Linked DNA regions of Medicago truncatula. Each later gene encodes a partner of the first gene's protein in a complex. Links are inferred from orthologs where the notes say so. Each region holds a gene or a part of one and is shown on either strand. Other genes may lie near its edges. The genes, in order: nucleolar complex protein 3 homolog and nucleolar complex protein 2 homolog.

Evidence for each region.
Region 2: nucleolar complex protein 3 homolog (region 1) and nucleolar complex protein 2 homolog share a complex: the UniProt entries of both Arabidopsis thaliana proteins name them as parts of the nucleolar complex. The link is inferred for Medicago truncatula from reciprocal best matches to the Arabidopsis thaliana genes AT1G79150 and AT2G18220.

The regions. Positions count from the first base shown.
Region 1 is NC_053048.1:32,672,318-32,689,156, forward strand, and holds the start of nucleolar complex protein 3 homolog, read left to right. Parts: upstream 1-10,094; 5' UTR 10,095-10,147; coding exon 10,148-10,314; intron 10,315-11,871; coding exon 11,872-12,041; intron 12,042-12,148; coding exon 12,149-12,342; intron 12,343-13,903; coding exon 13,904-14,112; intron 14,113-14,252; coding exon 14,253-14,355; intron 14,356-14,614; coding exon 14,615-14,778; intron 14,779-15,626; coding exon 15,627-15,765; intron 15,766-16,040; coding exon 16,041-16,220; intron 16,221-16,303; coding exon 16,304-16,440; intron 16,441-16,839. Other genes in the region: uncharacterized protein, read right to left, coding at 1-59, 975-997. UniProt on the Arabidopsis thaliana protein: May be required for synthesis of 60S ribosomal subunits and the transport of pre-ribosomes from the nucleoplasm to the cytoplasm. Also required for initiation of DNA replication.
Region 2 is NC_053042.1:53,572,859-53,588,907, forward strand, and holds nucleolar complex protein 2 homolog, read right to left. Parts: upstream 6,472-16,049; 5' UTR 6,362-6,471; coding exon 6,307-6,361; intron 6,222-6,306; coding exon 6,109-6,221; intron 5,515-6,108; coding exon 5,443-5,514; intron 4,328-5,442; coding exon 3,782-4,327; intron 3,365-3,781; coding exon 3,062-3,364; intron 2,764-3,061; coding exon 2,434-2,763; intron 2,353-2,433; coding exon 2,146-2,352; intron 2,044-2,145; coding exon 1,957-2,043; intron 1,486-1,956; coding exon 1,391-1,485; intron 1,292-1,390; coding exon 1,148-1,291; intron 1,007-1,147; coding exon 763-1,006; 3' UTR 546-762; downstream 1-545. Other genes in the region: VQ motif-containing protein 8, chloroplastic, read right to left, coding at 9,084-9,656. UniProt on the Arabidopsis thaliana protein: Together with SWA2, probably involved in pre-ribosome export from the nucleus to the cytoplasm.

The DNA.
Region 1 (16,839 bases):
GAGTGTCTTCCACTGAGTCAGTTCTTCCACCACTGCGTCTCTTGCGTGATTTCCTTTGTCTGCAACCATCCCAACAAGCAAACAAACAACAAATTTCTGTTAGATTTCTATTAGTTCCTTCAAAAAAACATAAGCAAAGTTGCAAGGTGAAGTATAAATTATATAGTTCAGAAACGTAATAAGAATCAAGAAATAAGCATATGCATCAAAAACAAAGTAGATGAAATGAAAATAAATATATGAACAAATAAAATTTGGATCAAATGAAAAAAAACAAATAGATTGGCAGCAACAGCGACATGGAACCATAAATGAACTGAATTCGCAATCAGCAGATCTTGATTGTTCGATGAAAATTTAACAACTCATATTCCGACTTTGCCAATTCGAATAAAATTTGTATGATTTTCTTTTAACAATTGAGATTCGGCTAATTTTCATCCAATAGTTGAATTTGTGATTGTTATAACTCATACTTCATAGATTCCATTTTCAAAGTTAACAAATCTCAAAAGGATAGAATGAATCATATTCTGAATTTGTAAAACCGAATTCGCAATCAACAGATCTCGATTGTTGAATGAAAATCGAGCTACTCCTATTCTAACTTTGCCAAATCGAGTACTACTTGTCTGATTTTTCGCAATTGAGATTTGTAGTTGAATCTATGATTGTTGGAACACATACTTCAAAGATTCCATTTTCAAAGTGTTGTCGAACTAGAGATTTAGCCAAGGTATCAACTAATGATCCTCAGTTATAATTCCCTTGCTTCAAGGGATTAAAAAATCTCAAAAATATTGAACAAATCATACTCTACTTTTTGAAACTAAATTTGAAATATGAATTGTTTGATTTTCATTTAATGATAATTAGATTCATGAATCATTTAACCATGAGACTCCATAAAATCTATGTTCAACTATAGGTAGCTTGAAATGAATTTAGAACAAAAAAAGAAAAAAAAAACTGACCCAGAAACGGTATCAATCTTCATACGCTTTCTAAGTACTGAAAATTTTGGCTCCTTTGTGTATAGCTTTGAAATTTGTGTTATTTTTTGAGGTTTAAGAGAGGTTTTGAAATTTGTACTATATTGAACAATTGGGACATGTAAACGTCATCACAAACGTCACTCTTGACTTGGAAACTAAGAAAAAATGTTGAAGTGATCAATTTAGTATTTACGTCATCAAACCTTTCTACAAAGGGAAATATGGATTTTTCTCTCACCATAAAAAAAATTATATATTTTGGATAGGCTTGATGACGTGGCTAATTTTGAGAATCTAATGCAAAGGCTGTGGGCTTCTGGGGTTATGACACGTGGCAGTTGTTGTTTCATTGGTGGCAGGCTGTCAAGAGCTTTCTTCACTGTGAAGGGCTTCCTTTTTATTTGGTGATGTTGTTTGCAGCTTGCTTTTTTTGAACAGTTTTGTTTCCAATGCATATCTAGATTCATTTGTCTTTGTTTTTATGAATTTTTTTCTGATTTGCTTTCATCACACTATTATTGTTAAATGATGGTTTTTTGTTATAGGATAGATGATGATATATGTCGTGTGATGTATTGATAGGTATTGAAATGAATTTCTATTTGTGGTATATTTTTTGGTTAATATATGTTATTCCGTAATATTATCGATTACTATTGTAAAAAATGATTTAGATTTCAATTACGTAATTCGATGTTTCTTTAGTTTTAGATTTTAATGAATTTTGATTTTACAAAATTGATGATATTAAAGTGGAAGAATCAAAATTTGCTTAAATTACAAAAGACAAAAGTATCTTAAAGTTTGAAATTTGATATCATATGGGTTTAAAATCGAAGAATCTTCAAATTACAAGGTTAAAATCTAAACAAATTTTTTTTACAGATAAACTAAAAACCGTTAATAATATAGAGATAAACATATATTAACCCTAAAAAATTTTACACGTAAAATTTGTAATGTGATTTTAATTAATTTATTGTAAATAGAAAATAAAACATATATTATTTACCCAAAAAAGATAAATACTATAGAAACCAATAATAAAAATGCAACTATATCCTGACAAAAAAAGATGAAACTATTGTTTTTTTTTAAAGAAAAGAAATGGAACTATATAAAGTAAAAAAATGTCCGTTTAATATTTAAATGCGAGGAAAGATATATTAACTCTAAGAGTAAATCTCAAAAGTTATTCCTGATTTTCCCCTTAAAAAAATTACTCCTAATTTTAACTCTTGGTTTTACTTTAATCCAACGGTTTGGCATGTGTTATAATTATCCTCACGTGAGCACTTATCCGGTAACTACCACTTGATCTTTAAACCCCTCCCCGTTTCAAAATGATAAGGTTCGATCAAATTCTTGAAAATACAAATGTTCTCTTTTTCATTTTCTTAATCTTTTAGATCTGCTAAAAATAATCAAACACAAACCTTAATTCCCTTCCGATCAATTAAGATTCATGTTGTGTTTGAAATTATTTAACTTTTATTGTGTACATTTTCACCGTCTCTGGTAGATGGGTACGTATTGTAATTTCGTTAAACATGGTGTTCTCACTCTCAAGAGTGAGAAATACTTAGTTAAGGACAAACACAAATGTAAAAGGTTTGGGCACATTTCACACAAATGCTTTTTTTTAAGATAAATTGGTTTAATGATATTGAATGATTTGACTAATTTATTTATTATTTAATTTTCTTCATTATTGTATGTGTGCCCAAATACTAATAGAAATCATATTCATGTCATAATTTGTATTAAAATATAGTAGAATAAATTTTTGAGAACCATTCAATTGGATCACACGCAAAATTTGAATACACTATCTAGTCCTACTAGTGTTTTGGCAAAAGTGTTATAATAGGTGTGTGGAATTTTTAAGAGTGTATTTGTAAGAGTGCTATTAAATTAACGTTGTTATATGTCAAAATTGAAATAGTCTTTTTTTTAGTTCAATATCCAAGATTACGAAAATGAAATACAATGTCTATTAAAGATTGTCTTCACACAAATAACATAAAAATACCAAGTCTGAGTTGTTTCACAGAAACATTGAAATACGAATATTTATTACACAACACGATATTTTCAAATATTACAACATTTACTAAAGCCTTTGTTTGGTCTTTGGTAAGCCTATCGTTTTCTCGAAAAATTTTAATAGATCGGAACTTCTCCGCGTGTGGACCTTTAATGAACGCTTCATGGTTCGATTAAGAGCGCCAAACGAAGCCAGGTGGCAGCACACTCTCACCAGAAGCAATAGAACTCTTGTTCTTTTTCCCTCTCTTGACTGGTTTCATAAACATAATTAAAGCTGCAAGTTTAATTTCACAATGTTGCAAGTTTCACAATCAAAATTGTAGTAGTCTATCTTGCAAGTCAATTTAGAATCCTTCTTTTTTTTGTTTGGTTGAAGTGCAACATCAATAGTTGACAATATAAAAATATATGCAATCATGTTTTTGTTCTCTCTAAATATACAAACTTCATAAATTCACGTGTTTCATATTACATTTATTTTAGCCTATTCAAATCAACTTGAAGGTAACTTATGAATTATATATAACTAGTGTAGGTAATTAATATGGTTGTTGTTTAATATACGTTGTAGTTAGACTATTTACATGTGAAACAACACATAGTTGTATAATAATGTATATGTTATAATATCATGTTTTGATATGTGCAATTGAAAAGTTGGGGGAACTCATTATGGAGCATTCACCGTGACAGATATCAGATAAAAAGTTGAGGAAGTTGTGTAGTGAAGCAAGCTATAATGCTGACAAAGAAGTTTCAAACATTCTCCATCCAACTCGTTCCCTAGGGATGTAATGGTGGAACTATCACGGCAGCAGATCAGGCCGTTAATTGGCTCCTTCAAGAGTATGAGAAAATTCCACTAATCAAAAGTTGTTTACAATCATGTTACATATCTATCTGCCAGTGATAATTTAGCATTTTGGAGTTTTTAATATGACAATTTTATTAATTTGAATCTAACTACTAGTAGATACCAACATTTGTTTGAAAAATAAAACAAATGTTGATGTGATCATAAAAAAAAAAAAATAGAAGAAACATTTATCGTTGATAGTTAACAAAACACGTGAACATTATTTTCATTGAAAAAAAAAAAAGAAAAAAAAACACGGGATTGTTTCACAGTGATACATATTTTCATTTATATCTAATTGATGAATCACAAATAACATAACTTTCAAAAAGTTTTGTCAAAAAAAAAAAAAACTTTCAGAAAGTTACAAATTACTTATTTCTCAACTATAAATTATAAACGAGATTAATATTTATTATAAGACATACAATTACTTTTTATAAAATTACACATTTTTAAGATTGATTCTTTTGTAAAAATAATTTGCCTTTTTTTTTTCTTATGTCGTTTATGTAGAACTAAAAAAAAACCATTCTTCATGTGAGATATCATAGAAATTTCTACAAATCAATCAAGACTAATGAAAATAAAAACATTTACACTATGTTTGTTTCTAAGAAAAGATTATTAGAGGGAGAGAAAGTTAATGGAAAGAAAGATTCTTTTTTTTTTTTTTTTGGTTGAATTGCAACATCAATAGTTCAAAATAAAAACATGCGCAACTATGTTTTTGTTCTATCTAAATATACAAACATTATAAATTCATGTGTTTAATATTACATCTATTTTAGTCTATTCAAATCAACTTGAAGGTAACTTATGCATTATATATATATACTAGTGTAGTTTATAAATGTCGTTGTTGTTCAATGTACATTGTAGTTAGACTATTTACATGTGAAACAACACATAGTTGTACAATAATGTATATGTTATAATATCATGTTGAGTTACGTAGTTTATAATGTTTTTTTTTTTTCTGTATGAGATGATAATATGTTCTTGGGCAATTATCCTTGAACTATTTTGCTAATGACGCAATATTTCTCATAATACCTCTTCGTGATTGCACACGCTTTTTCTTGTACTCTTGATGGCACAACAATCATTTGCTTGAATGAAATTTTATGTCTTTCTCTTAAACTCTTTTTTAAACTATTTGAATATAACTAATTAATTTTCATGTCTTAAAAAGCTTTGACATGTATTGTTGAAATAAATCATTAAGATATGTAACACAACTCAATGTGTGTTTTGTCACAAAACATTAATTATAATCTTGTGCGGTTTTCAAGTTATTCGACCATGATTGTTCAACTATAAACATGTTCTTCCTTTAATCTTTAACTCTTGTGGTAACGAGGTTGAACCAATGAATCTCATATTTTTGTTAAATATTCAATCAACAATCTTGTGATTTCATCAATAGTCTTTTGGCATCTTCTATGATCTTGTGATGTTGTTGTTGTAGTATTCTCATGCTATTATAATTCTCCCATTTAGTATATACACGCACATGTAAAGATTTCTTTTATGTCTACTTCTGTTAAAAGACTTAAGTGTAAACATAATACTTAACCTTTATTTTATAAGGTTTATTGTGACATCAAAATGATTTTTGTTTCAACAATCTCTCATTTTTTTATGATGACAAACTTTTTGAATCAATCTTAAGATTTATGGATAAATATAGTAAAAAAATGTAAAAATGTTCTTATGTATGCAATTAAGCTCCCCCTAACACACGTGCAAAAGTTTAATTCATATCATTCTAATTAAACTTCCCCTAAACATATGCAATAGGTTAATTCTTAACATTCTTCATCGATTCTCCATACGTCATAGGTTTCTATCCCATCACATATATTTTCCCCTTTTTGGTATCTATAAAAAAGTATTGGGGATGATATGAAAAAAAAAAAAAAAGAATTATAAATGTGGGAAGCATGAACACAAATATAATGTACATAGGGATCATGTATATGAGGAGTCATATTCTCATATCAAACTTAATCGCTTGCTTTTAACATACATTTCATGTATCATGCTTAATATTCATTTATCAATACATGAATAAAGACAATTATGATCATTTGATCTAGTGCAACAATTTTTGGAATAGAAAAAAATGATTTATTAGTGGATGCGATAAAATCGAAGTCATTTGTAACAATATCAAAAATATTTCTCTCTTCTGAATATTCTCATGTTGAGGATATTTATAAGTTTTTCAAATGATTAAGTTTGTTAAAGGATAATTCTAAGCAAGATGATTTTCTCAATTTGATAGAAATCAATTACATGTATTTCTCAAGAATTTAGATATTCACAATCAAGCATATGATTAAACTTTATTGCATGTGTATGTGTGAGTTCTGTTATGCGCTTATCTTTTAAGTTATTATGCTTAAACGAGATTATAAACATATAAGGTAAGTTTGTAGAGATATATTTATGCACATATATATTGATGTCAATGATGTTACATCACTATTTTTGTCTCCAATTTTTGCAAGTGCATCAATGTAAACATTTGACAATACTGATCAAAATTTTCATGTTAAGAACATACCTAGTATGAGTTGAAGAACAAAATAGAACATTTTATTCTTAGACCAGTTTTAAAGTTTACAACAAAGTAATACATATCATACTGAAACTTAATTATGTATTATGTTTCTTTTAGAAATGTTTCAAAGATAAATCCTAAATTCGAATCCATTTGAAATCATGTTTGAAAAATTATATTTTCATGGGTTAATAGTGTTTTACCCCTTGTTATATAGGTCATTTTCGGGTTTGACCCCTGTAATATTTTTTATTCGGTCCTTGTAAAAAAAATTGTTTCAAAATACCCCATAGGCCATCTAACTATGCATATTTGCTGATGTGGCACGCTGAGTCACATTTTTCTGATGACGTGACACGCTGACTATATAAATAATTTTGTTTTTCATTTTTTTTATGGGTATATGTGGCATATGTGACTATTTTTTTAAAAAATGAATATTTTTTTTTTTGCAAAATTCATTCTTTTTTCAAAATTAAGAAGATTTTTCCAAAAAAAATTCTCGACCTTTATATATTTCAAAATTTCCAAAAATTATAAAATAAATCTGAATTAAATTAAAATTATAAAAAAATTGAAAATATAAAATTATCTAATTTTTTTTATTTTGAAAACTAATTTCTAGAATTTTATTTTATTTTTAAAAAATCTTCAAAATTTCGTAAAACAAATATGATTTTTTGGTGGATTCTAAGGTGAAGAATCAATTAAGTCCCTCACCAGTGTACCGCTAATTTTAACCATTAGATTAAATACACTCATTAGTTACTACCGCATAGGATCTAATCTCATCTCTTTGCAATTTTTTCTTTCTATCTTTCCTATAAACTTCTGCATTTACGCAAAGAAAACTGTCTCCATCCTCACATTCTTGTCTAAAATATTATGGTTTGGTTTACTCAATTGCCACTCTAGATAACTTTTGTTTGATATTTGTATGGACAATTTTTTATTCAAAATTATAAACTGAATTTGGGAAATGTTATTTTATTTGCACTCATTTTTGTGCAGGATTAACAACAGAGATCTATGTGTACTTAAGTTTGATATCAATTTGGTTTCAGATTGTTATTTGAAAAAAAAAATTCAATAAATTTTCACATCACTTCACAATAGGGATTCATATTTTAATCTATTAATTTTTATTGGCATTTCAAAGCAGCAAAATTGAATAATTTTTTTCTTTCTAAAAAGGTTATTTTTGGAGCCATTTATAAATGATCGAAACCACCATTGATGTAATGTTATGAAGGCTTTGAGAACAAAGAAATAGAAGGGGCAGAAGAGGCTAAATAGAGAAAAAAAGAAGTGTGATATAGTGTATACGGTGTATGGTATGATGTAAGAAATTAGATCAATCCGATGACTTTTAATGCTTTTTTTTAATTTCAAAAAAGATTTTATAAAAAATTATGGAAAAAAATCTGAATTTTTTCTATTAAAATTTTGGAATAAAAAATTATCTATTTTGTTTTTAATTTTTCAAAAAATATTATCTAAATTCTGGACAAATATTTTCAATTTTAGGAAAAATATTTTCAATTATGGAAAAATATTATCTAATGTTTTGTTTTTTTTTAATTATGAAAAATATTTTCCAAAATTTTATTTTTTTTATAAAAAAAAATTAATTTCAAAAGAAAAATCTGAACTTTGTTTTAATTTCAAACCTGTTTTTCTAATTATTTTTAAAATTTTTTAAATATATTAAGTTCCAAAATTCTTTTAATTTTTTTTCCATAATTTTTTTCAATTGTTTTTTTAAAAAAATGCACAAATGCCACATGTACCAATAAAAAAAGGAAAAAAAAAATTAATTATACAATTAGCGCGTCTCGTCATCACAAAAACGTGACTTAGCATGGCACATCAACAAATATGCACAATCAGATGGTCTAAAGAGGTATTTTGAAACATTTTTTTTACAATGACCAAATTAGGCATGGCAATGGGGCGGGGTGGGGACGGGTTTTACCTTCCCCGTTTCCATACCTGATTCTCATATACTTACTCGTTACCCTACCCATACCCAACAAGGATGAGAAATTGAATCTCATCCCCGTCCCCGACGGATTCGGGTATCCCCTCCCCATCCCCGTCCTCGCATTGAATATTTTTTTTAATAAAAAATAAAAGTTTTTTTGCATCCCCAAGAGCAACGTTGTAATACATTATCCAACAATAAGCTCACCTTCACATTTGTTAGACAAAATTATTTAGTTGATCCTTTAAATATCAATGGTAGTTTTTATTAACATGACAATTATCAAACAAAATAACATAACATATCAACATAAAATAATTTTTTACATTTGGGACGATGTTTGGGTATGAGTTCGGGGTGGTACCTATGTACCCGTTACCCGTCCCATACCTGTGTTTTGAGATTGGGGAAAACCCATACCCATACCCAAACCCAGTCAAAAAGGGGAAAACCTGTCAAATTGGGTTTAGTTCGAGCGGGTAACCACGGGTATGGGTTTTGTTGCCATGCCTAGACCAAATCAATTTTTTTTTTTTACAGGAGTCAAACTCAAAAATGACATATATTACAGGGAGTAAAACACTATTCATCCTATTTTCATTAACCATATCAAAATATTTGCAAAAACCATATTCAATATATATCACTTAAGAACAAGCAATGAATATGTTAATGAGTAAACTAGAACAAATTCATGAATATCATCAAGTTTTAAACTACTATGAAATTTCAAAGAAGACATTTTTATGATCTAAGTCTAAAGTCTATCATGATTTGTCTTTTAGAAAAAAAATTATAGTTGATCCATGTAAAGAAATGAGAATGGTTCAAATTACAGCTCATGCAAAAACTTGTTTAGAAATGTATTTTAAGAACATTATAATGACTTCATTCAAGAATGCAAAGAGTTGAACTTTGCTAAAATGATGTTGAATCGTTTAGCATTCATCAAGGTATCTCAAAAGACATAGTGTGAAATTACATAATATCATGCAAAATTTACCCTTGACACAGCATCATCTCCTTGTATAATTTAGAACATTAATTCACATTAAATGCATTCTTAACATGTTTTCTAAAAAAAATATTAAAAAATTTGGCAGGATAGACTTAGGCCTAGCAAAACCTGATCTATTTTCACCCTGCAAGTCGGTTCAAAATCTCCTATTTTCTTCTTCTTCTCAAAGTACAACATTGATAACCGAATAAAAAAACATTCACAGGTATCGGTTTTGTTATTTCTAATATACTACAACTTTAGATTTTCTAAAAATTTTCATTTAATAAATAGATTTTCTAAATTTTTCATCTAATTTAATGAGTTTGGGAATACTCTATTTAATCAATTTAAGAGTTTGGATGAAAGACACGTGGCAAACAAACATTCAATGGAATTTTAAATTAAAAATAAATAAATATTTGTTTAATTAAAAATAAAAAAACGCTCTCCTTCTTCTCAAACAGTACGCATCCATTCCTCTTCCTCTTCCGTTTTTTTTATTTTTTATTTAAACAAATATTTGTTTATTTTTTAATTTAAAATCTCAGCCATTGAATGTTTGTTTGCCACATGTCTCTCATCTAAACCCATAAATAGAGCATACCCGGCAGGTACACGTGTATCTCTCATGTCATAAACCCTAATTCACAAAACCCTTTCTCTCTCATTCATTCATTCAAAGAAACTCGCAACCATGGGCAAAAAGCAAAAGCAGCAGCCGAAAATCGTTCTTCCGCCGGAACTCCCACCGGAGATTCACGATGATGAAGTCGAGTATTCCGATGACGATGTCAAATTCGTCAACGAAAATCGTGAATTTGCTTCCTTGATTTCTTCCTTAGACACTAAATCAATCACCAAGTGAGAAATTAATCCCTTTTTCTATTCTCCTTTCAATGCTTCATTTTTCATTGTAAATAATTGTTTCTGGGTACCCTTTTGTTTCTGAAAAAGGGAAAATAAAACTGTCTTTTTGATAAGGTTTTTTAAAGGGTTTGGATATTTGCAGATTTAAAACTTTGAAATTTCCATAGTCATAAGCTATATAGATTGGCATTGACTATAAAAAGTGTTTTTTTATTGATTATGATTTATGGGTCCGTGTGGATTGGCTTATTTGAGTTAATTTACTGACATAAGCACTTCTGAGACTGATTTAGAGAGCTTCTAGAAACAGCTTATGAATCTTTGAAGTTGTTTTCAGCTTATTTCATTCAGCTCTCTTACATAAGTTATGAAAATAAGTTATTGCTTGTATGAAAATAAGAACTTGTTTGAGCTAATCTACTGACATAAGCACTTGTGAGACTGTTTCACTGAACTTATGAACGCCTTATGTTGTTTTTGTAGATAACTTATGCAAACAATTTTTAGCGTATATGTAAATGGTTAGGCTTTATTATATCTTTTGTTAGATAAATAGCTTATATAAAAACACTTAGGGCTCATTTGGATAAGGCTTATTTTGAGCTTATACAAAACAGCTTATGTAAATAAATGAGTTTTTTTGTATTATTATTAAGCTTGTCGTATAGCCAACATTTTTTGGTGTTTTACTTTATAACTTTCATAAATTTTATTTGATGAACTGATCTCTATATGATGAATACATCATAGGCTATGGATAAACTCCAATGAAGCCTGTTTATGTCATAGTTACACTGATAGAGAATCATTCATCCTTTGTTTCATATATACCTACTTTCCTTTGGTTGTGTTTTTTATTGGCCTTGTCCTACTTGAAGCAATTTTTTTCCTCATTTTTCGAGATTAATAATGATAATATAAAGAAGCTTCATCTTTTGTATATTTGGACTCCTGATACTTGTATATGATAGAAATGTAATATTGGCAACTTTGCCGAGGTGATCAAAACCATATTGGTTTCCTCTTTTTCCCTGTTGCCAAAACTTGAATGACTGGAACTAGTTTCATGCTATTCTGATTTATATTGTCAGTACAGTTTTCTAGTGCAGCCAACATATATTGGTTTTTTACTTTATAACTTGTGTAAATTTGATTTGATGAACTGATCTCTATATGAATATAGTTTATGGAAAAAAAAAGTTATGAAGATACAATTTTCGTTTGTGAAAAGTTATAAATTAACATAAAAACTTATTTATTTGCATAAGCCATTTTTCATAACCTCAAAAATAAGCCAATCCAAACGGGCCCATGAATCTGATAAGTGCTTATGCTATAAGCTATTTATCCAAACTGGGCCTATTACAAAAACTTTCTGAGCCGGCATTTGCTTATGAGAACTATTGAGATTTAACCGATGTCGTCTCCTTCTTGTCATGTACAGTGTGGAAATCACTTCCAAATTGTAACAGTGTAGCTCATCTTAATATATTTTACCCATTATAGTTATGAATTTAACTGACGTAGGATATAATTTTTGTGTATCCTAAGGCATGTTACACGGGTTGCTGATGCTAAAGACGATGCTTTGGAGAAACTATATGAGCAACGACGCATGAAAAAAGATGCTAAAAAAGAAACAGAAGAAACAGGTTTGCAGGTTGACCGAGTAGATGCTCTTCCTGTCAAGTCCTTAGATGGAGAAGTCTATTACCGGACAGGTATATAGTGTTCTCTTATATAGAATTTGTGCATTGTCGTCGTTTGTCATTCTTTTCTTTCTTTTACTTGTTGATCTGGTAACATATGCTGTTCTCACATTCTGCAGCCACGCGGACGGCACCAGTAAATGGTCCAAGGAAAGAGGAAACTGAAGAGGATGACAATGAAGACAAAGGTTTTGTGAAGCTAACTAAGGCTGAAAAAAGAGCCAAACTTAAGAAAAGTAGAAAAGAGGGAAAGAAACAAGGGAAAGAGGTGGCTAAAGAAGAAGTGGAAGAAGCACCACAATCAACAGTTTTGGTATATTACCTATAACCTGTTTAACATTATTAATTTAACATATTCTTTGGATCCATTTGATTTGCTAATGAGGGATTTGACAAGACAATACTATTTGCTTCATGTTAGATTTCTAATATAGTCACAGGACAAAACAAGGTTTTTGTTTCACTTTTGATTTTGAAAATAGTCGCAAACAAAACTTTTCAAAATGAAATGCTAAGTATTATCCCTCCTTAACTCTATTACCTATTTCCATCCCCTCTGCTATTAATTCAGATTCCATTCCTCCGGAATTATTATCTTCTTATAAATTCTAACTCGGATACTACAGCACCTCCTGTCCCAGGAGACCCCTAACATTCATCTATGCAAACAAGTTCAAAGTCCGTAATTCATAAAACCCAGATTAGTTCCCACTCTCCTTACACATTTGGAACCTACCACCACTCCCTTTACACGTCTGAAACCTACCATAGTTACTTACTTGGCTGGCACTAAGTGGTTGGCAACGATGCAGTGTGAGAATGATGCATTCATTAATAAAAATACTTGTTGCTCTTCATGCACATAGGCAGGCATTCGACTGTAAATAAGTATTTTAGGTAAAGGGTAATCCACATAGAAATATTAATAAATACAAAGCAGAACATTTGGCAAAAGGATTTCACCAAGAACTTGATTTCCACAGTATAGGAACTTCCTCTACTGCTGTGGAACCAGTGGCCAATAGAATAGGCCTTACCTTAGCACTAACTCATTGGCATATCTAACAGCTAGATGTAAGTATACTCCTAAAAAGATTCCTAGATGAAGAAGTAAATGCAACAGTCTCAAGGGTTTGAAAACTAAGTAATCATCAGTTCATAAGTTTAACAAAGCACTATATGGGCTCAAAGAGACACCCAAAGAATGGTTTGTGAGGCTGGCTTTTGCAAATATTAGGCTTTGGTTTTAATTCAAGACCATCAGGTGTGTTTCATCCCTTTTCACTCTTCATGGTTCCTCATAGTCTCTATGTGCTGGGATATGTAGATGATATGATGATAATTGTCATAGGCAGATAACCCAGTTGATGGAAGGCCAAAAATCCGCCATTGCCATACAAACATGCCACTGCGGCTTATGGCGCCACCATGGCGGGCATCCCTTCACAAATTGCTTAAGGCATACTGCACAGTTAATTGTCTGTGTCACTGGTAATGACCAAAATTCTGCCATATAAATGTGGGATTGCGACCTATGCCGCCACACTGTCTATGGTGGCTGGCACAAAATTGACCACATCATTCCACCATGATGTCACCATTGTGCCGCCATTGCTTCTATTTAACAACCTCGCTTTCATGGAAGTTAACTAATTCTGTTATAATGTTATGTCACTATCGGAATACTCTATAAATATCGACTCTTTGTACCTCTCGTGGTATGAAGTTTCTTGGAGACTCATTTGTTTTCTTTCTTCTCTTATTTACTGACATTGCAAATTCTAATATTTCTCTTGAACTGCTACCTTTTGAGAGGACTTTTTAAGTCATTGAACTCAATAATTTATATAATTTGTCATCATTTCATTGTTTAGGATGAGGTTAAAGAAGATCTTAAAGCTGAAGAGAATTTTGAAAGTAAAAAGTGTAAACTTGCAGAGTTGGGAAATGCCTTAATAACAGACCCAGAGTCCAATATTAAATTTCTGAAAGATATGGTACAGCTATCTAAAGATAAGGATCTCACCATTGTTAAACTTGGACTTCTATCCCTCTTGGCTGTTTTCAGAGATATTATACCTGGGTATGATTAACTGTCATACATTATAATTACAATGCTCATTCTAAATGCAATGATATTATAGTCTGCATTTGGTTTTTTTTTTTTCGAATTAATTCTATTTTTAATCCTTTAACTTTGACATCAATGCATGCAATGTCCAGCTATCGAATCAGGCTTCCTACTGAAAAGGAACAAGAAATGAAGGTTTCAAAGACTGTTAGAAAGATGCGTTTTTATGAATCAACTCTTCTCTCTGCATACAAGGTTTATATTCATGTTTGACTTCTATGTAAATTCATTTTATTACTTGATTTAGCTGAAATAAGTTTGTGCTGTTAGACATGACTTCCTGTTCCAGTGCTTGCACTGTGGTTCATTGTGTTGTCTTTAACCGTACATCTGAATTGGTCAAAAAAATTATGATAGCTTGTTTAAAATTATTTACAGAGTATAAATTTTATTAGATATTTGTGTCACTAACTTTTTTTTTTTCTCCTTTGCTTCTATTTATACACGTCATCAGGCTTACTTGCAAAGGCTGATAGCCTTAGAAAAGCTGCCTTCATTTCAGCTTGTTGCAGTTCAATGTATTTGTTCTTTGCTTGATAAAAATCCCCATTTCAACTTTCGTGAAACCTTGTTGGACGTGACTGTCAGGAACATAAGCTCCAGTAATGAGGCTATAAGGTGTTGTAATATCTTTACTATTGGCCATTATTATACTAATGTTTCTCAAGTATTTATGTAATTTCCTATTGAAGAGCATGGATATTAGTTTCATAAACTCAAATTTTAGGCTGAAGAATCCATCATTGGAAAAGGAAACTACCTGCCATTTGGGGCATAAGGGAAATTTCGTGGGTAATTGGCTATTTGGTGGATTAAAATGCTAAACTACCTTGTGTAGTTCAAGTCTAGATAAAAGTTATTTATACTTTCCATCTTGGTTGTCAATACCGTGGAATAGTGCCACAATCACATTTGTCTTCATTTGATTTTTTAAACGCATGGAAAAAACGTTTGCATTCTTTCTAAATGGAACTATATTTATGCCATTGATGGGGGTAATAACATGTATTATCTACACATTAGCTCCAAGCAGTTGAAATGGTGTTGGTAAGTATATGAAAAATGTTTCCAAATTTGAAGAGCATACATTATAAATAAGAACGCCGATCTTAAAGGATGTGAGTATTATTGTTGACATTGCACTAGGTGTAGAATTTTACAACCCCATGTCCGTGTCAATTGAAAACTATGTTTCCCCGTTACAAATGCGACAGGCTTTACTGGTGTGTAACTTAAGTATTTTTTTTATTCAATAGTTGCAAGTTATATCTTATTTCATTGGCTCAACTCTGGTCGGTCAGTAGCCAGTATGGCTTCTATATGTTGAGGGTCCAAGACCAAAAAAAATTCTCATGGTTTTCCAGTTTTTGTTTGCTCATATAATGAATATTAGCAATGATCTATTTTTTGTTTCTATATTTGTATGCATTTATACTTGCTAAGATATTCTTGTTTTTGTTCTGCAGGAAATTTTGCTGTTCCACAATTAAGTCACTCTTTACAAATGAGGGTAAACATGGTGGTGAAGCTACTGTGGAGGCTGTCCGGCTGATTTCTTATCAAGTTAAAGATCATAATTGCCAGTTGCACCCTGATTCCATTGAGGTATGATACAAGTCCTATGCTACCATCCCTTTTTTTTTCAATGTTTTACCAGAAGTCCTATACTTCTCAATCTTTTGTTTTTTGATTCAGGTTGCTATTGCACATTTTTGAGTGTGATGTAATCATGATAGCTATTTGAGTTTAACTTATTTGATTTGAGTGTGTGATGAAATCATGATAGCTATTTGAGTTGAACTCATTTTATTTGATGTGGAATATTTCACTGAGCATAAAGCTGTTAAGTGATGTTTGTTCTTTTCAATGCTTATATCCAGGTTTTCTTGTCTCTTTCATTTGATGAGGATCTTGCGAGGTCTGAACAGATGGAAAAGGATAAAAAATTTAAAGACAAGAAATTTGGTAAGAAAAGAAAAAATACGGAGGCATCAAATCAGTTGCCTGAAAATGACAGAAAGAAAAGCAGGCAAGAGTCGATTTCAAAGACAAGAGAAGAGGTGATTATTTTTCCAATAAGAATCACTCTGTTCTGGATTTTTGGTTGATAGCAGAAATGAGATTCTACCAATGCTTGTTGTAGGTTGAAGCTGATTACAAGGCTGCTTCCTTTAGCCTGGATGTTATGGAGAAGAGACAGATGCAAACGAAAACACTCTCTGCTATGTTTGAGATATACTTTCGCATTTTGAAGCATACGATGCAGTCCATAGTTGTCAGGTGTGTTTTAATCTATATCATGTGTATTACTATATTACTATGAAACATAAATGTTGATGGGTTTGTAAATCCTGTTGCCCATATAATAAGATAATTGATGCTTTGATATATGGACGGCTGGCTTAAATTAAAATGAAACTGCTATAATAATAAAAAAATGGCATTCAGGTAAAATACATGCTTGAAGAATATGGATGCGTGATCCCCTATCATGTTCTTGAATCTTGATTCAAAATTCCAATTACAATCAATATGCGGACATTGCATTGACTTGATAGCATGTATTTTTACCATTTTGACCAGTAGCTTTCACAGTTCTTGGTTTGTTCTTTATGACCACTTGTGAACAATACTCATAATTTTACCCGTGTAACCAATTATTCATACATGCCTATAGAT
Region 2 (16,049 bases), on another chromosome or scaffold:
CTAATACGATCATCCAGCCCAGTGAAAAATCACCTAGAAATCCCAATATTATGCCAACATTATGATAATTTATTTTGTTAGTTTTCGGTTGTCAATTGTTTATTTTTTTTATCTTGAAATTTAGTTATTGGTTGTTATTCTCTTTCATGCTATATTTTTTTTTATTCAACCTCAACTACTTCAAATTCCTTCACTTTTATTCTTTGGTGAAATTTGACAAAGGAAAAAAGCATGTGTGTTGTTGAATTTACAAAATAAATTCTTATTAGAAATTTTAAAATAACTTAACGTTTTTTTAGTTAGTCTAATTTTTTGGTTAAATATTTACTCAAAAATCTCCAACTCCTTAATCAAACCAGTAATATTATAGGCAATTCACTCTATTCCTTACACGCTCATAGAAAAGCACACACTCCTTATCTTCCTTATCATTTCTCTCATGTTCAAATTATTTTTTTATCTTCTCATTTCATAGAAAACCAGTAATTTTTTTATTATATAACTTTTGTTTTTGGCATATTAGAACAGGAAAAGTACATTTTCCCTTGACAATTTAACTGTAAACAAAAATATAATTGCAGCCGTCACCATTACATTTAGATATGTCAATAATCTTTACTTCCAAGGTAAAATTGAAAACAATTTCTTATAAAATTACAAAACTTTTCTCTCATTAACCCAATAAAAGTTCGAATAGAGATAGAGGTCGTTCTGTCAACGAAGAAGATATAGAGATTGCAAAGTAGACATATCACTTTTCCCTTAGGTGTGAGATTTATTCCTTTTCAACCTTTTTGTTTTATGCTTTGTCTTGCGGTTTTGTTTTGGAGATGAATGATGATCAATATCGGCATTTTTCCCAGCAGAAGGGCTGTCGCTTGAAGGCAAATCTTCATCTTCATCAGAACTAAGTACCAAGTCCTCCACAACATCATCATCAATGGCAGTTTTTTCTTTTTTATGCTTTTTCCTCTTTCCTTTTGGTTCAGTAGGCTGTTGTTTTATCCTGAAAGCAAAGCATTCCTCAGATAAAAAGTAAAAAGAAACCTGTGTTTATGTCATCGTGTAGTATGTGCACAAATGTACGTGTGTTTGTGTATGCAGCTGGGTTTGTCAGTGAAAGATGAACAAAGAAAAAGAGCAATACTTGTCATTTCCGGGTAACCAGGATGAGCTAAATGCAGCAGTTCCATCCACGTTCTCTTTGGCATCCTCGTTCTCTTTAGTATCCTCCTCATCACTTGCTGATTCTTCATCACCAAAAACAGAGGATTCTTCTCCAACAAGAACACTGGAAATTTTTAAGTTATATAAGAAACCTATATGATAATGATGTATGCATGTTGGACACAGTAATCCATGTGAATGGAGGTGATTTTAAAATTCAAACCTGGATTCCTTTAATGAGTCGTTTTTTTGTTTTGCTCTCTGGCGGAGTGTTATAACATACTTTGATAGTGCACTAGAGGCTGACTTCTTCTCATCCTATCAAAATCAAGTTGACTGTTTACAATTCTCAAATATAAATGGGCATTTAATTTAAAGTAAAGTGACATTGAGGCGTGAAATAAGTGGGACGATAATCTATACAGACTTATATAATAAAATAAAGGAAAAGAAAACGGCAACACAAAAACATTAAACATCAATAAAATGACTTCATTCAATTCCCACCATACGATAGTGTTTAGCCAGATATATAGACCAAAATGAAATAACTCAATAGCATCATCAATCACTTCATTGGTCTTCAGTAATAAAGTAACAACCTATAGAAGTTTATTTGCTTAAGGAAAAAAGTTTTATGCAGGTAGCAGAGAGCTTGGAAGAATTGAAACATGGAGCAGACTACAATGTAAGTAAACAAATGAATGAAAAAGGTCAACCAACATCCAACAAGGAAACAATCAATACTCTCACTCATTCCTTAAAAGTAAAGAGAAAATCTGAGCAAACCTCAAGAAAAGATGATGCCGCAGGATCATTAGGTAGAAAGGAAATTGACATGCGCCTTTCATTCACAAACTGGACATTAGCCTCAATCTGAGTGGAAAATTAAATATTAGAGATGAATGCCACAAAATTTGATGCATGCCAATGATAAAAGTAAAACATAAAAGGTTTATGATCATTTTAATAAGATACCTCGCGAATAAGCTGCCTCATTTCTCTTCGAAACCTTTCAACTTTGGTCAATTTGCAAAAGTTGCGCAACCTCACAATTGGGATAAAAGACAGCTCCATGAACCCAACAGAGTAACTCCATAGTGCCAGGTGTTCCGCAAGTTCTTCAACCACAGAAAAAACACAAGCCTCTTGAAATGCCCGTGTCTTAAGAGTTGGCTTGCTAATCTAATATGAAAGAATACCTCTAAAAGGTTAGGTGGATTTAAAGTTATCAACAAATGCACGATTTCACCAAGTAACAAGTACCTTCAATATGCTGCGTAAATCAACAGCTTTGCCAACACCTCCTGTAGGGGGTCTATTCAACTCCTTCATCTCCAGCATATCCAAAAGGAGCATAGATACTGGTACAAAAGATTGGGTAGAAGCAGCAATCTGGTTCAACATCCGGATACATCTCAACCTAAGGGGAAAGTACCTAGCTGTGGGAACTAGACGGGCTACTCCAAAAATTATTTGGGTCAGTGGATATGCAAGTTGCTTAAAATCAGATTGTGAACTATAAGCACGAATAGCATCAGTCCAAAGCTCAAGAGAGTTAATGAACTTCCATTCATAAACCTTGCGAAAAGCTTCCTAAAGAAAACATTCAGACAGAGAAGAGCAACGTAAGAACCATAAAATAAAATTGTCAAAAATGCATAAACAATTTGTTTTGATTAGTGAAAAGCTCCAATCAAACACGAATAAAACAAATCTATTAAGGAATGTCTGGTCACATTTCCTTTACTCATTACTAACGAGATACGGAAGTGTCAAGCTAGTCAGGATAGATGAATTGTTAGGATTGGTTCCCTCTAACAGCAAAATGTTATGAGGCACTTCTTACAGTACCAAGGAAGAAAATAACATATAGTGAACAAATAAACAGCACCTTAGTTTTTGTATTAAGTGCGTCCCTTAAAATCATGGCCAACTGTCGAATGAAAATGAAGGCGTGTTGATATGCAGTCGGAAGATCCACTCCGAGAAGTTCAATGACGCAGTTGCTAAGAAAACGAATATGTTTAAGTTTCACAGCATTTACGAAATGGCAATTCAAAACATAGGCTTTATATATTCCTTTAAAGCAATCATCTATGCAGCCAGATCCAATACAGATGCACAACTCTCTCATGAATAGACACGAAACAACAGGAAGGGCACCTCCACCAGTACCCCAGAAATGAAGAGACACCTGATAATTTCAACAAGAAAGTGATTTACCAAATGAATAGACATATGTTAAGTTACATGTCCTAGCAAGTCACAAATGTTCTTTACATTGAAGCCTTTTCATTCACATTACCAGAAGTATATACTTACAGGGGAAAAAAACTGCATGCAACAGAAAGTTTACCGAATGATACTATTCTTAATTTTGTTTAAGTACGGAAAAATGTATCATTTATATGATCCAGATTTCAGAAAAATTTAGTTGATTTCTGTCCATCTATTAAGCTTTCTCATCATTTACTGCACAAGACCGAATGGTGCCACAATCACCAAGCATTGGAAGACATATTCAGCACAGAGCCAGAAACTTAAAATTACTAATGCTCATCTATGAATTTTGTAGTGAACAATGATGAGGTGACCAATGAACTCTTTGTACCTTAATATATTTCCTTAGGAGTGAAGGAAAAGCAGCCAACAACAATGAAGAATATTTTAGCCGATGTAAAGTAAATGATATCATTTGTGAGTCAGTCATTTGATTCAAAACGTGGAGAGCATTTCCAAGGTAGGACTTCACAATATGGCCATAAGTCCTCCATTGTTTTGTGGTCATCAAATTCATTATGATCTCTTTTCTTCCACCAGAAGCAGGAAGCTTCAACAATTTTCTTAGTATTCCATCCATTTCATTAAGTACAGTCAACATTATTTTGTTGAACACAACGCTAGACATTACACTAAGTTTTGCCGTAGAATCATTCTCATCATCATCACCATAGTGGCATGCTGTCCTAAAAGCCCTCATCAGGGAACGAACCGCATTTAAGCTCCCATTTTCTTTAATTGATTTGCACCACAAATCAACCATAGAAGTGGTTATAACTTTATTAGAATGTTTTTTATCCTTTGCTTGAACCTCATGCTCAATAGCCTTCTCATCTTCCTGTGGTTCTCCATCTTCCATGTCATCATCCACATCTTCCTGGATAAAAGAAGCGAAACAGTTATATATAGTTTCTATTGCTAACAACGCGTCACACTGATAGCAATTTAGTAATGCATGCAAATAGTTAACAGAAAAAAAAAATTAAAATACAAAAAAATAAAAAAAAATAAAAAAAAAAGACTGAAACCAATATCTTGAGATTCCCTACAAATTATGATCACTGCACCAAATATAGTTGATGAACGTGAAATCCTATATAACATAACAGCAAAAAGGAGCAATCTTGACAATACCGGCATTCCTCTTCAACCAATTTAAATTTACCACCAAACACTCAAGCACAGTCCAAATTTTTCTATCTTGATTAAAGGATAGATCATAAGTTTCAAGTAAAACCGATTCAATAAATATCATGACTCTACCCAAAGTGTCTTCTCAAAATCTAATAGGAGAACCATAACCTGAACCTAAAAGATATATAGCCTATAGGTCTAAAAAATACAAATCCCAAGAAACAAAAATTGAATCTGCAGGGATTGGTGGGTTGGTGGTTTACCAATATGAGCAACGCCATATTGAATTTATGATCTTGATAATGTGTGCCCTGAGGGCACATAATAATGAACCCAAAATGGAACTTTTGCAATGAAAAAATAATTTCAAAAGTTGAATGCACGACTTTCATGATGAATGCTTCTTTATTTAGTTTCTAAACATGTGCCCTTAGAGCACATGTTAGCATTTGCCTTGAATTTACATTTCGTTGTGTTGCGCCACAAACATGGCTCTAAAGGGAAACCAGTTACCCATCATTTATCCACTGCAATGACCTTTTTAGGATGAAAAAAAAGGAACAAGCAATATTGGGTAAACAAACAATGCAAGCTTAGCATCCACATCTTTCTAATAGAAAACAAACAAAAGTATGAAGAAGTAAAGAGATTGATAACCAATGCAAGCTTAGTAGCTAAGAAATTTTTTCCCATATCTAGGAAGGCATTAGAAGATACTGCATATTATTCATGATAACCATTTGGAATACACATCTCACATCAACGGCTCAACGCATCACGGAACCATATTCATCTCAATTAATGTATGAAGCAAAAACAAGACAGATATTAGATAGGAAGTGTCAAAATGAAACATACATCAATATCGTCATCACTGAACTTAAGCAGATCCGGGTCATTCTCTTTCAAGTACTCATAAAAATCTTCGTCCTGCAATGGAAAAGGTTGTTAATAACATTGCTAACAGAATGTAGCCCAATAAATATATAAAAGGCAATTTCCTATCAACCACCACCTAGTTCAAATTTCACACATACAAGCATTTGAAATGCGAATTAAATTATCAAAACCTTTACTTGTCTTAGTCTACGTCTACCCTATGGACATGCAATATGTCTAATTTCTCTAATAAAATTATACAAGGGCAGACGGCCTAGAGATAAACATTGCTTGAAACGACAAAACTTATATTTAGCTATTAAGGCCCTGTTTGGACAAGTGGCTTACTTGCAGCTTATAGCATAAGTGCTTCTTATGTATAAGCTATTTCTTTGGAAAAAGATAAAATAAAGTTTAATTGTTTTCGTATAAGCTATTAGTTGTTTTCATAAGCTATCTTAGAGAACTTATGAAAATAAGCCGAAAATAGCTCAGACATTTAAATAAAACTTAAGTAACAATATAAGCTGAATAAGTCAATCCAAACGGACCCTGAATTAAAGAGAATCCTACAAAAAAGAACAAGCAAAGTTGCATACACAGGTATCTTAGTATACTAAGAAACAACAATGTAATGGGTCTAACCTTGTGCTGAAGATTTTCTATTTGCTCCTTATGTTGTTTTGCTTCAATCACAACCATCGAATTTTTTTTGCTCTTTCTTTTTACATTATTTTCTGCTCCATCCACATTAATCTCTAATATAATCAAAATAAATAAATGAGACGAATTAAAAACGAAAACATAAAAAAGTAAATTAAAATAATGAAAGAAAGAAAGAACCTTTATCAATTTGTGTTGAAACTATTTCCTTCACCGCCGCTTTTCTTCCAACCATCGTGTTGCAATAGAAACGGCGTTGAATCGAAACTTATTGTTTTGCAGAAAGATGAACAAAGAATTCGTAGCTTATTACTTTTCAGAAACAAATTTAGGGTTTTCCAACAAGAAAAACATATTTGGGGTTTAAGACAAAAAATAAAAAATAAAAAAAAAAATTAGGTTATTATGGGTTGGGCTTCTTGTTTATTTTGCTAGTTTGTATCTGGGCTTATTAAAGAAACAATAATAAAATTACTCTTAAAACATCTTTAATTGCTCACATACACCTTGAAATGCCAAAAATGCTCCCATCAGGTTTTAATTCCCGGTCGTTTGGGATCGGGAATTACGTCTAGTTCACTCAAGATTGGGACTTACGAATCAATCTGTTTCTAACATTGCCCAGCTCACTTTTACTACACTTTTCTATCACAACCTACTTGCTATTTCATCCGTTCTTCCAAAACCTTTTTTTTGTTCCAAAAAGTGTGTCTCAAATTATCAAAGAAGCATTGGCAAAGGATTTCGACACATATTTAACGTGATTAAGTAGATATTGCTTCTTTTAACCCGTATATGTTGCTGGTTTTTGGCAGATTTTCTTGGAACTTGATGCGACGAACTTGTCATGAGTTAAGAACCGATCATGGGATCGGGTTCTAACTCATTATCCATTCAACCCCGATTTTTTTATTCATTCATTTGTGTTGCATTATTTGATGTTATTATTTTATAATTCAACTTTTTTTCTATGTTTTGTTATTTATAGTTATGGTTGAACATTCGAGTTGATAATTTGTTAAATCAAAATCAAATATTGTTGAGTAATTAAAAATTTGGTGAATCCCTACATCATATTTAGGTTTCCATGTGCAATACTTCTAAAAAAAAAAAGTAAAATTAAACAAATAAAAAATATTGACATGTTAAGGAATATAGATTAGGGACTAATAGGAAACACCAAATTAGGATAAATATTGGATTATATAATTCACTTAGAGGGAAACTCTACGTAATAATTACTACAGTATAACAGAGGTTGATTACAATGGATGGAATGTATAAGCTCCTTGTAGAAATGATACAACTAATTCAGATATGTTAATAGTGAAAACTATCCCTCTAATTCCTTACTCACACTCATTCTATGAACATGCTTAAGAGGCATATCATGGACATAATCAAGATTACAATAAGAGAACAAATCAATAAGCAACAAACTTTTGATACCTAATAAGTTATAGGAAGCAAAACTAACATTACAATCACATTCTAAGCCTCCCGCGCGTGGTGCTTCAAATGTGGTGACGGTGTAATCCTTCGTCATTTCTGTGTTAATTAAAAATTTGTAGCATTTTCCCTTAAGAAATCTAACTCAATTAAACTACAACTTTTTTAATTTGGGCCAAAATCTAATCCGTTCATCTTCCTTCCTTAAATTCGTTATCAATGTAACCAAAGGTCATTGAATTCCTAACTACCATGTCTTATGCAGACATCAAAAAATTATTTGATTATTAGCTTGTGCAGTAGTTCATTTATCTGAGAATCTATCCTAGAAGCCACATAGCTGTGTTTTTTAAACATGTCTTTATTATAGATATAGATTTTACTTGCAATTATCAATTAAGTTATCAATTATCCATAGCTGTGGCACATTAATAGGCATCAAGGAGTTTGGGCCCCTTCTATTAGGTTTTTATCCTTTGTTGGTCAAACCTCTCTTTTATTACTATTATTATTGACTGTTGTCATGAAACGTAGCTTTAATATAAATAAATATTGGGGTCTTGCCGGTGGCGTGTTATAATCAATTGACAATTGCAACTCCAACCAAATGTTAAATATTGGTAATTGAACTATAGAAAACTTCAAATTGCAGTTAAAAATAAATAAAAATAGTATGATAAGGAAGGAGTTGACTTTTGCTATTGCATAATGCGTTGTACAGCTCTTCATCAAAGGGGATTCTAATCTGATAATAATCCATTGATAGATAAATCAGATAATAATAATAATTCAAACAACAATATAACATGTCGACAAAAATCTTAAATTTGTTCAAGTGATTTGGCTTAAGGGTCAATGAACTTCATCAAAAGATGAATCGTTCGATAGAATTTCAATTTGATTATTGAGTGAGATATCAAATTATATTTAATTAATAAAGTCCATACCCCAACAAATAAAATGATTAACATAAAATATATATATATATATATATATATATATATATATATATATATATATATATATATAAAATACCGACAACAATCCATTAAACTTATTGCATTGTCTTTCACGTTGACTAGCTAGATGCTTGAATTCATCGATCCATTAGTTATAATTAAACACGTGATAAAATTATGGACCATATTCGTGGTTAGTTTGGTTTCACACAATACTTCTTCTTCCCCTTTCTTTTACCATTATTTAGCCTGGGGTTGGTAAGAGGAAGACGCTAAATATATAAACAACTGCTAAATTGGAAGGTGAATTATACACTAAAAAAACAAGACTGAATGAAATTAGTGTAACAAATTAAAGCCAAATGAATAATCTTTTGCTAATTCTTATGTCTAGAAAGAATGAATTAAATCTCCTAGTAATTCATGTCAATTTCTTATGTCCACAATACAACAAACTTTACAAAAAAATAAATATGCAACAAATTAATTAACAAATAAGAGACCAGCCTAATATAGCACACAACTTGCACCTATTAGTTGATGAATGAATTAATATTCAGGTAGATCTTGGATGAATCCCAATCCAGAAGGAGATATCAAACTTCCCAAAATCCCATATGGAGAATCAGAAAATTTATACACTGGTCGTGATGATGGAGAGCAAAAGAAATCATGTGAAGTTGGAGTGAATAATGGCATATCAGCAAACTTCATCATATTAGAAGGACTATGTTTATAATCAACATTGCTATTTACACCACCCTTATCACAATTCTCATCAATATTATATTCCCTCTTAATAACCGAACTAGTTGAAGTAGTTTCATCACCATTATTGTTTGATCCATCAGACAAAGATGACTCAAAATTCTCAGAGACTTCTAGCTGACGTGGAAGTACTTGATTGGTAGTGGACATGCCTGTGAGACTTTGAACAAGAGCCATGAAATCTTGTGCTTTTGTATGAATAACTTTTGGTGATTGTGTGTAAATGATTATGGGAACCCTTTGTTGTTTGTGTGATGAATTAGGCTTGCGTATCATCAAAGGGGAAGGACGAGGACCATTGATCATATTCTTTTGTTGATCATAAAAACCATGCAACTTTGATTCAGGCTTCATTTTTTTGTTCAACTCAATATTATTGCAACAAATGTTTTGTTTTGCTAAAAGGAGAAAGAAAAGTGAAACTTGGTGAATAGGGAAGAGAGGGTAGGTAGTGTATATATAAGCTTATATTAAGATAAACTATTTGGCCAACAATGCTGACCGTTGACATTGGAGCTACAACTATCAAATATAAAATTTGAGATATACTATAGTTGATGAGTTGTGTTTTTTGATTTGACCGGTGGAGATTTTGAACTTCAAGTATTCACTATTTGAAAAGGATTTTACTTACAAGATACGTACAAGAAAGTTGTTGATTAATGTTTACAAAAAGCAAAACAATGAAGGACGAATATTTGAAAAAATACAAATCATTTAATTATTTTTAAAAATATCATTTACTTTGTTTTCTCTCCCAACATTTTTTTTTAATTAAGTCTTGTGATCATGCAAAACTCTCTCTTATTAAAAAAATAATTCTTAATGATTTAGTGCGAGCTCCAATACCAAATATTTAGATGTGTATAGGTCATTTATATGCATAATAATTGTGTTTCACTTATGACATAACAATTAAAATCTAAATGGAATAACTATCAATTTTAACAACAAAACAAAAAGTAGTGTTAAAAAATATGTGATAGAGAGAAAATTTCTTGCTGCTCTTTCGGTCTTATTATAAGTGTTATTTTAGATACCACACAACACAATTGTTAAGAAAATGATTAATTTTATTGTTTTTTATGGTAAATAAATGTTTAAAGACTAAAATACTCATATTGGTTATAGTTCTTAAGTAAATGTGAGTATTTTCATAAAAAATAAAATAAAGGTAAATGTTATTATTTTTATCATTTATAAGAAATAAATGCAAATGCGCTTACTACCTTAGTCCCTATTTTGAAGTCCCTTTTGGTAAAATAACAGGAATTAAGAAAGTTGATATTTGTATTGAGTTTATTAATAATCACAAGCAGCAACAACATATTTAGATCTAACGTATCAACCAAGTGTAAAGCAATATAACAATCGAACCAAAGAACAATCAAGATAAAGAGAGTGGAGTATAGAGAACAACACCAAGGATTTGTTCACCCAGTTCGGCCCAACGATGACATATATTTGGAGGAGAGAGATCTTCAATTCACTATCTAAAGTTCTTTACAAAAAAAGACAAGAAATTAGCTTTAACAAGTTCATCAAGAGCAATTATAATTTCTACCATTTTTCCGAATCTCTTTCGCATGATCAAGAAACTCAACGATTTCACTATCCAAGGTGTTTCCCAATTGTTTTCCAACACTAGCACCACAATTTGCTCTCATACAATATGAATCTTGATCCAAAACGCATCACGATTTTCCTAAGACTAGAACTCCAAATTTGAACCAAATCGAACCACAATTTCGCAGAAACACAATCATATGTTTTTAAATCAAAACTCAACGATGTAAAGTAATATTTATTATTCCCATTGTTTTCTGTCAACCCATTTGGTTGCACTATTTTTTTTATTCTCGAATTAACCTGTTTGGTTTGTTTATTCATTAATTAGTTTGTTTATATATTAGGCACACATAGCCTAAAAAAAGAGTTTAGTACACAATGGACCTCCATAGTTGTAACTCTTACCCACCCGGCCCGCAGACGGCGCAAAACATTTTTAACCTCCACATATTTATTTATTTTTTTAAAAAGAGACCTCATGTTCTAACTTCTAACTCTAAAATTACGTAGTATGATCTTTTTTTGACTGGAAATTATGTATTTTTTTTTTTTTTTGGACTGAAGGAAATTGTGTAAGATATTGTTGACGCGTTTGTAAGTTGTATTTTTATATGTAGAATTTGCTTTTCTATTAGTACTTTCTTTAACGCACCATTTGAATCTAAGATCATTGCTCTTTTCTAATTCTTCCACTATAGCTATAAAATAACATTTAAAAGTAACCATATTGAAAATTAAAAGCTTGTTGTAATGTTGTTTTATTACTCTCTTCCTTGTTGGCAACTGTGTGGTTATTTTATTGAAATTTCAGCAGACTCGACCCCCTCCTCCAGATCAAAGATATATATATATATATATATATATATATATATATATATATATATATTTTATTTTTATTTTTTTAAAATGCAGCAGATGCAAATAAGACGTATATGAGCTCTCAAAAAAGATGTATATGAATATTTTAACAAAATGGCGTATTAAAAATAGGTTAACTTCTTAGTTTTTTAATACTCCTTCCGTTTTAAAATGAGTATCGCTTTAGCCAAAAAAAATTATTTCAAAATGAATGTTATTTTACATTTCCAATACAACTTTAATTTTTTTCTTCTAACTTTTCTCTCACACAATTTTCAATGTAACTTTAAGTTTGTCTTATTCTTATAAAGTAAGGTTATTTTAGTAAAATTGTTATGACATTTGACTATTTTATTCCATTCCTTAATCTGTGTGCAATTGGCCAAAACGACACTCATTTTAAAATGGATGGAGTATCTTATTATTTCTCCTGAAATAGGAAAAGACATGGAATCTCTCTATTAGACTTTTCGTCACACAATAAATCAAAGATGGTAATAATGATTTTTCTTGCTAGAAAAATAGCAATAATACTTTTTATTGGGAAAAACTCAAGTCTCACATCAGATAGATGAAATTTTTGATGAAAATTTATAAGGAGGATGCACTCCTCACTTCACAAGCCGGTTTTGTGATGATGAGTTAAGCCCCAAATTTCAACATTAGAGCTTGTCGAATTCAAGGATCACCTACCTATTCACACACCAAGCCCAATGAGTGATGGGCGTGAGGGGAGTGTATTGGAAAAAACTCAAGTCATATCAGATAGATGAGACTCTTGATGATCGTTTATAAAAAGGAGGCACTCCTCATTTCACAAATCGGTTTTGTGAGGATGAATTAGGCCCAAATTTCAACATTCTTAAAAGTAAATTAAATTAAATTAACAACCATATGGGGGCATGGACTTAACTCTGAAGAAAAGGAATAAAAATAAAAATAAAAATAAAAATAAAAAAAGGAAAAACAAATACAAAAACAACATTAATGTGTATTATGAGATTGAGTGATTGTTAAAAATGGTAAACGAGATGTTTTGGTGTACGACAGATTCAAATCAATGACATTTGCCTCCACGATGAAAACATATATTCTCATTAATTTAAAATTATCTTTTACGAGGCTAATAGAGTGATTGTAACTCATTTCGTAAGAGATAATGCATAATATATGCATTGAGGATCAGACCCAGAACACCCCACTTATTCACCTTTAAGATGAATTTCTCTAACCATTAGATTATCTCAAAAAAAAAAAAAAAAAAAAAAGTGATTGCAACTCCAACTTGTGAATGGGTCTTAATTTGTTGGAAGCCCCTAGAGGAGGGGAACGGTTAAGCTGAATGGTTGTGTGGTTTTGCTAATAGGATTGAGATGTGTAATGCTTATATGACAATAGCTATCGGAGAGTGTATAAAGGTTTTGTATGCTAGAAAGTCGGATTTCAGACGGTAGAGTTAAATATGAACTCTTTAGCGGTTGCTAATGTTCTTATAAAAAATGGAAGTGATCGTCTGTTGGAAAGTCTTTAGTTGAGAAGACATCGCTTGCTTGAGTTGGAGGTCGTTGTGAAACAATCTTTTTGTGAAGTTAACCAATTCACGGATGTGTTAGCCAATCATATAAATTCTTTAAAGGGAAATGTTAATTACGACACAAGTTAACGTGACCCTTCTTTAAATGGTGGATTTTTTGTTATGAGTCATATTGGACCCAATTCAATTATTTTCTTCTAGGTAATGTAATGGAAACTGTTATCCTTCGTTTGATTCTAGTTTAATCTTTTTCCAAACATGAACCTTTTTGTAATATTTATTTATCATAAGCCACTAATTTTTTTATTTGTGTTCATATAAAACAAGTTCTTTTTCTTTTTAAAGAATTTTTATGGTACGTGTTTGATCCATTTTTTTGTCAGATGGGAATCACACAACTTAAGTACGAATAAATTAAAATATCGCATTCAAATTCGCATCAGAACACATTAAATAATCCTTCAACTGCGAACTGGTTTATAATACGGAATTATTTAAGACTTACCTAATGTTTGAGCCTTTATCTACATATACTAGGAAGTCAAAAAAGAATAAAAGATTAAATATATACTTTTCATCTCCTATTTTTTTTAAATGAGTTTTTAGTTCACTATATTAAAAAACAATTTTTTTGTCCTCAATTTCACTTTTTTTTTTCCTTTTGAATTTTCCCTCACCTCATTTTGTTTCATTTTTACTGATGTGACATAGTATTCATTAATTATGTGACATCATTTATTCATCATTTTTTGTTGACATGGGTATTTACTAGTATGACCATATAAGCTCGGTCACATAATTAATGAATAAGCCGGTGTCAACAAAATTCACCCATAAATGGCATGGGGATGAAAATTATAAAAAAAAAAAATTCAAAAGTGCATTTAAGACAATAAATAATAATTGTACCAAAAAAAATAAAAGAGACGATAAAACATTTGTGGGATGTATGTATGGTCGCCGTGGTGGAGGGGGTTTTAAAATCAATATTATAATTATAGTAATTAGTTTTGCTCATTTCATAATGTAAACGGGCCAATTAAAAGCCCATGAAGCATCTTGAAATTACTTCCCCCTGTATCTCACGACCCCCTGGAAACGCAATAACACCCTTTCTTTTTTCTTGAGATTTTAGAATCGAAACCCGAAAATTTTAATGAGTTATTCGCATCTGTAATATTAAGATTTCATTTTACATATCTAAATTTTAAAATTAGAATGTGAAAAATTCTAGAATTGCATTTTGCCTTAAGAGGTGTTTGAACCATGTAAGTGCTTGAATTCTAATATAATATTCATGTGTAAAATTGATATTTGGTCATTCGGATTTTAAAATTCAGATGTATAATAATCCTGAAAAAACATCTGGTCACGATTCAATTTTGGTTAATGTTTATCCCTTGGACAGATAATAACTAATATTCATTTTATTTTAATATAGGTGTCATTTAATATATTTTTCAAACAGAAAAAGAACTTGAGCATAACAAATTTGCATAATGTTTTTTTTCTTCTACATTACCCCTTGATGAATCAGGGGTAATTTAGACCTATCAAATAAAAATCCTATTTTTTTTTACTATCAAATACCATTTTCATCTACATAACATCATATTTCTTCATATGCTTCGTTTAACATCGGATTTCCATCTCCGTCGTTCCATAGTTGGATCTTACAAATTACCACTAATTCATCAAAAGGTAATGTAGGCCTCACAATTTTGATTTTTTTTCTTACGATTAATTACCATTTTTAGCTCAAGAACGTCGAACTTCTTCTTCTCCTTCATTCAACATGTGATCTCCATCTCCTTTGTTCTAGAATCGAATCATAATTGTCATTAGAGGTAAATTACCACTGATTCAACAAAGGGTAATGTACGCCCCACCTTTGAAAGTGATTCGGTTGGACCTAAAGAGATGGTTGGTCGGTTGAGAGCCACTGTGTGGAGGGGTCAGACTTTGATCTATCCACCGTGTGTCAGGTTTTGTTGAGTCGTTCATTGATGGTCCTTCTCCATCGGAAGGGGGGTGGTGTACCTGAATGTGCTCTGACCCCTAAGTCGATGAAGGGTTTAAGAGTTATGTAGTTATAATATGGGTAAAGAGTGTCCTACATGACCCCAGGACTAAAGTCTGGGTATAAATATTGGCCAAGTAGGGTTAGTCTTTCAAGCCTTATCTTGCAAACTGTGTTTATACGCAGGGGCGGAGCCACCCCCCAGCTAGCCTGGGCACTAGCCCAGGCTCAGCTCCAACTTTCTTTGTAACAAGTTCAGCCATTACTAGAAGTTTTAGCTTTTCCTGCAGATTTTGCCAAGGATTTAGGTCCCTAGGTGAGGTAATACCTTAGGATTTTAGGATCCGCAAGAAAGATATATCCACAGGAAATGTGAAATTATTCGCAGGAAGGACGTAACATTTTGCGATAAATTTTTTGCCCAGACTCTATATAATTTCTGGCTCCGTCGCTGTTTACACGTACGAACATGAGCAACTCTCAGTCTTGATGGTGAGCTCTCGACATGCGTGGGCGTGAGCAACTCCCGGACCGATGAGAAACTCTCATCCTGCATTGTGATCTGATGGATTATATATAGGGCATGTTTATCGTATAGTATCGCATGCATAGTGGACTCTGGTTAGACCCGAGCGGAGTTAGATTGGGTCTTGGGCCAGTTCGATACAGAAAATGTTCACACAATATTTATTTAAAAGTAAAATTATAATAAATTAATTAATGTTACATTAATTAATAAAATAAAATCAGAAAAATGTTGCTAACA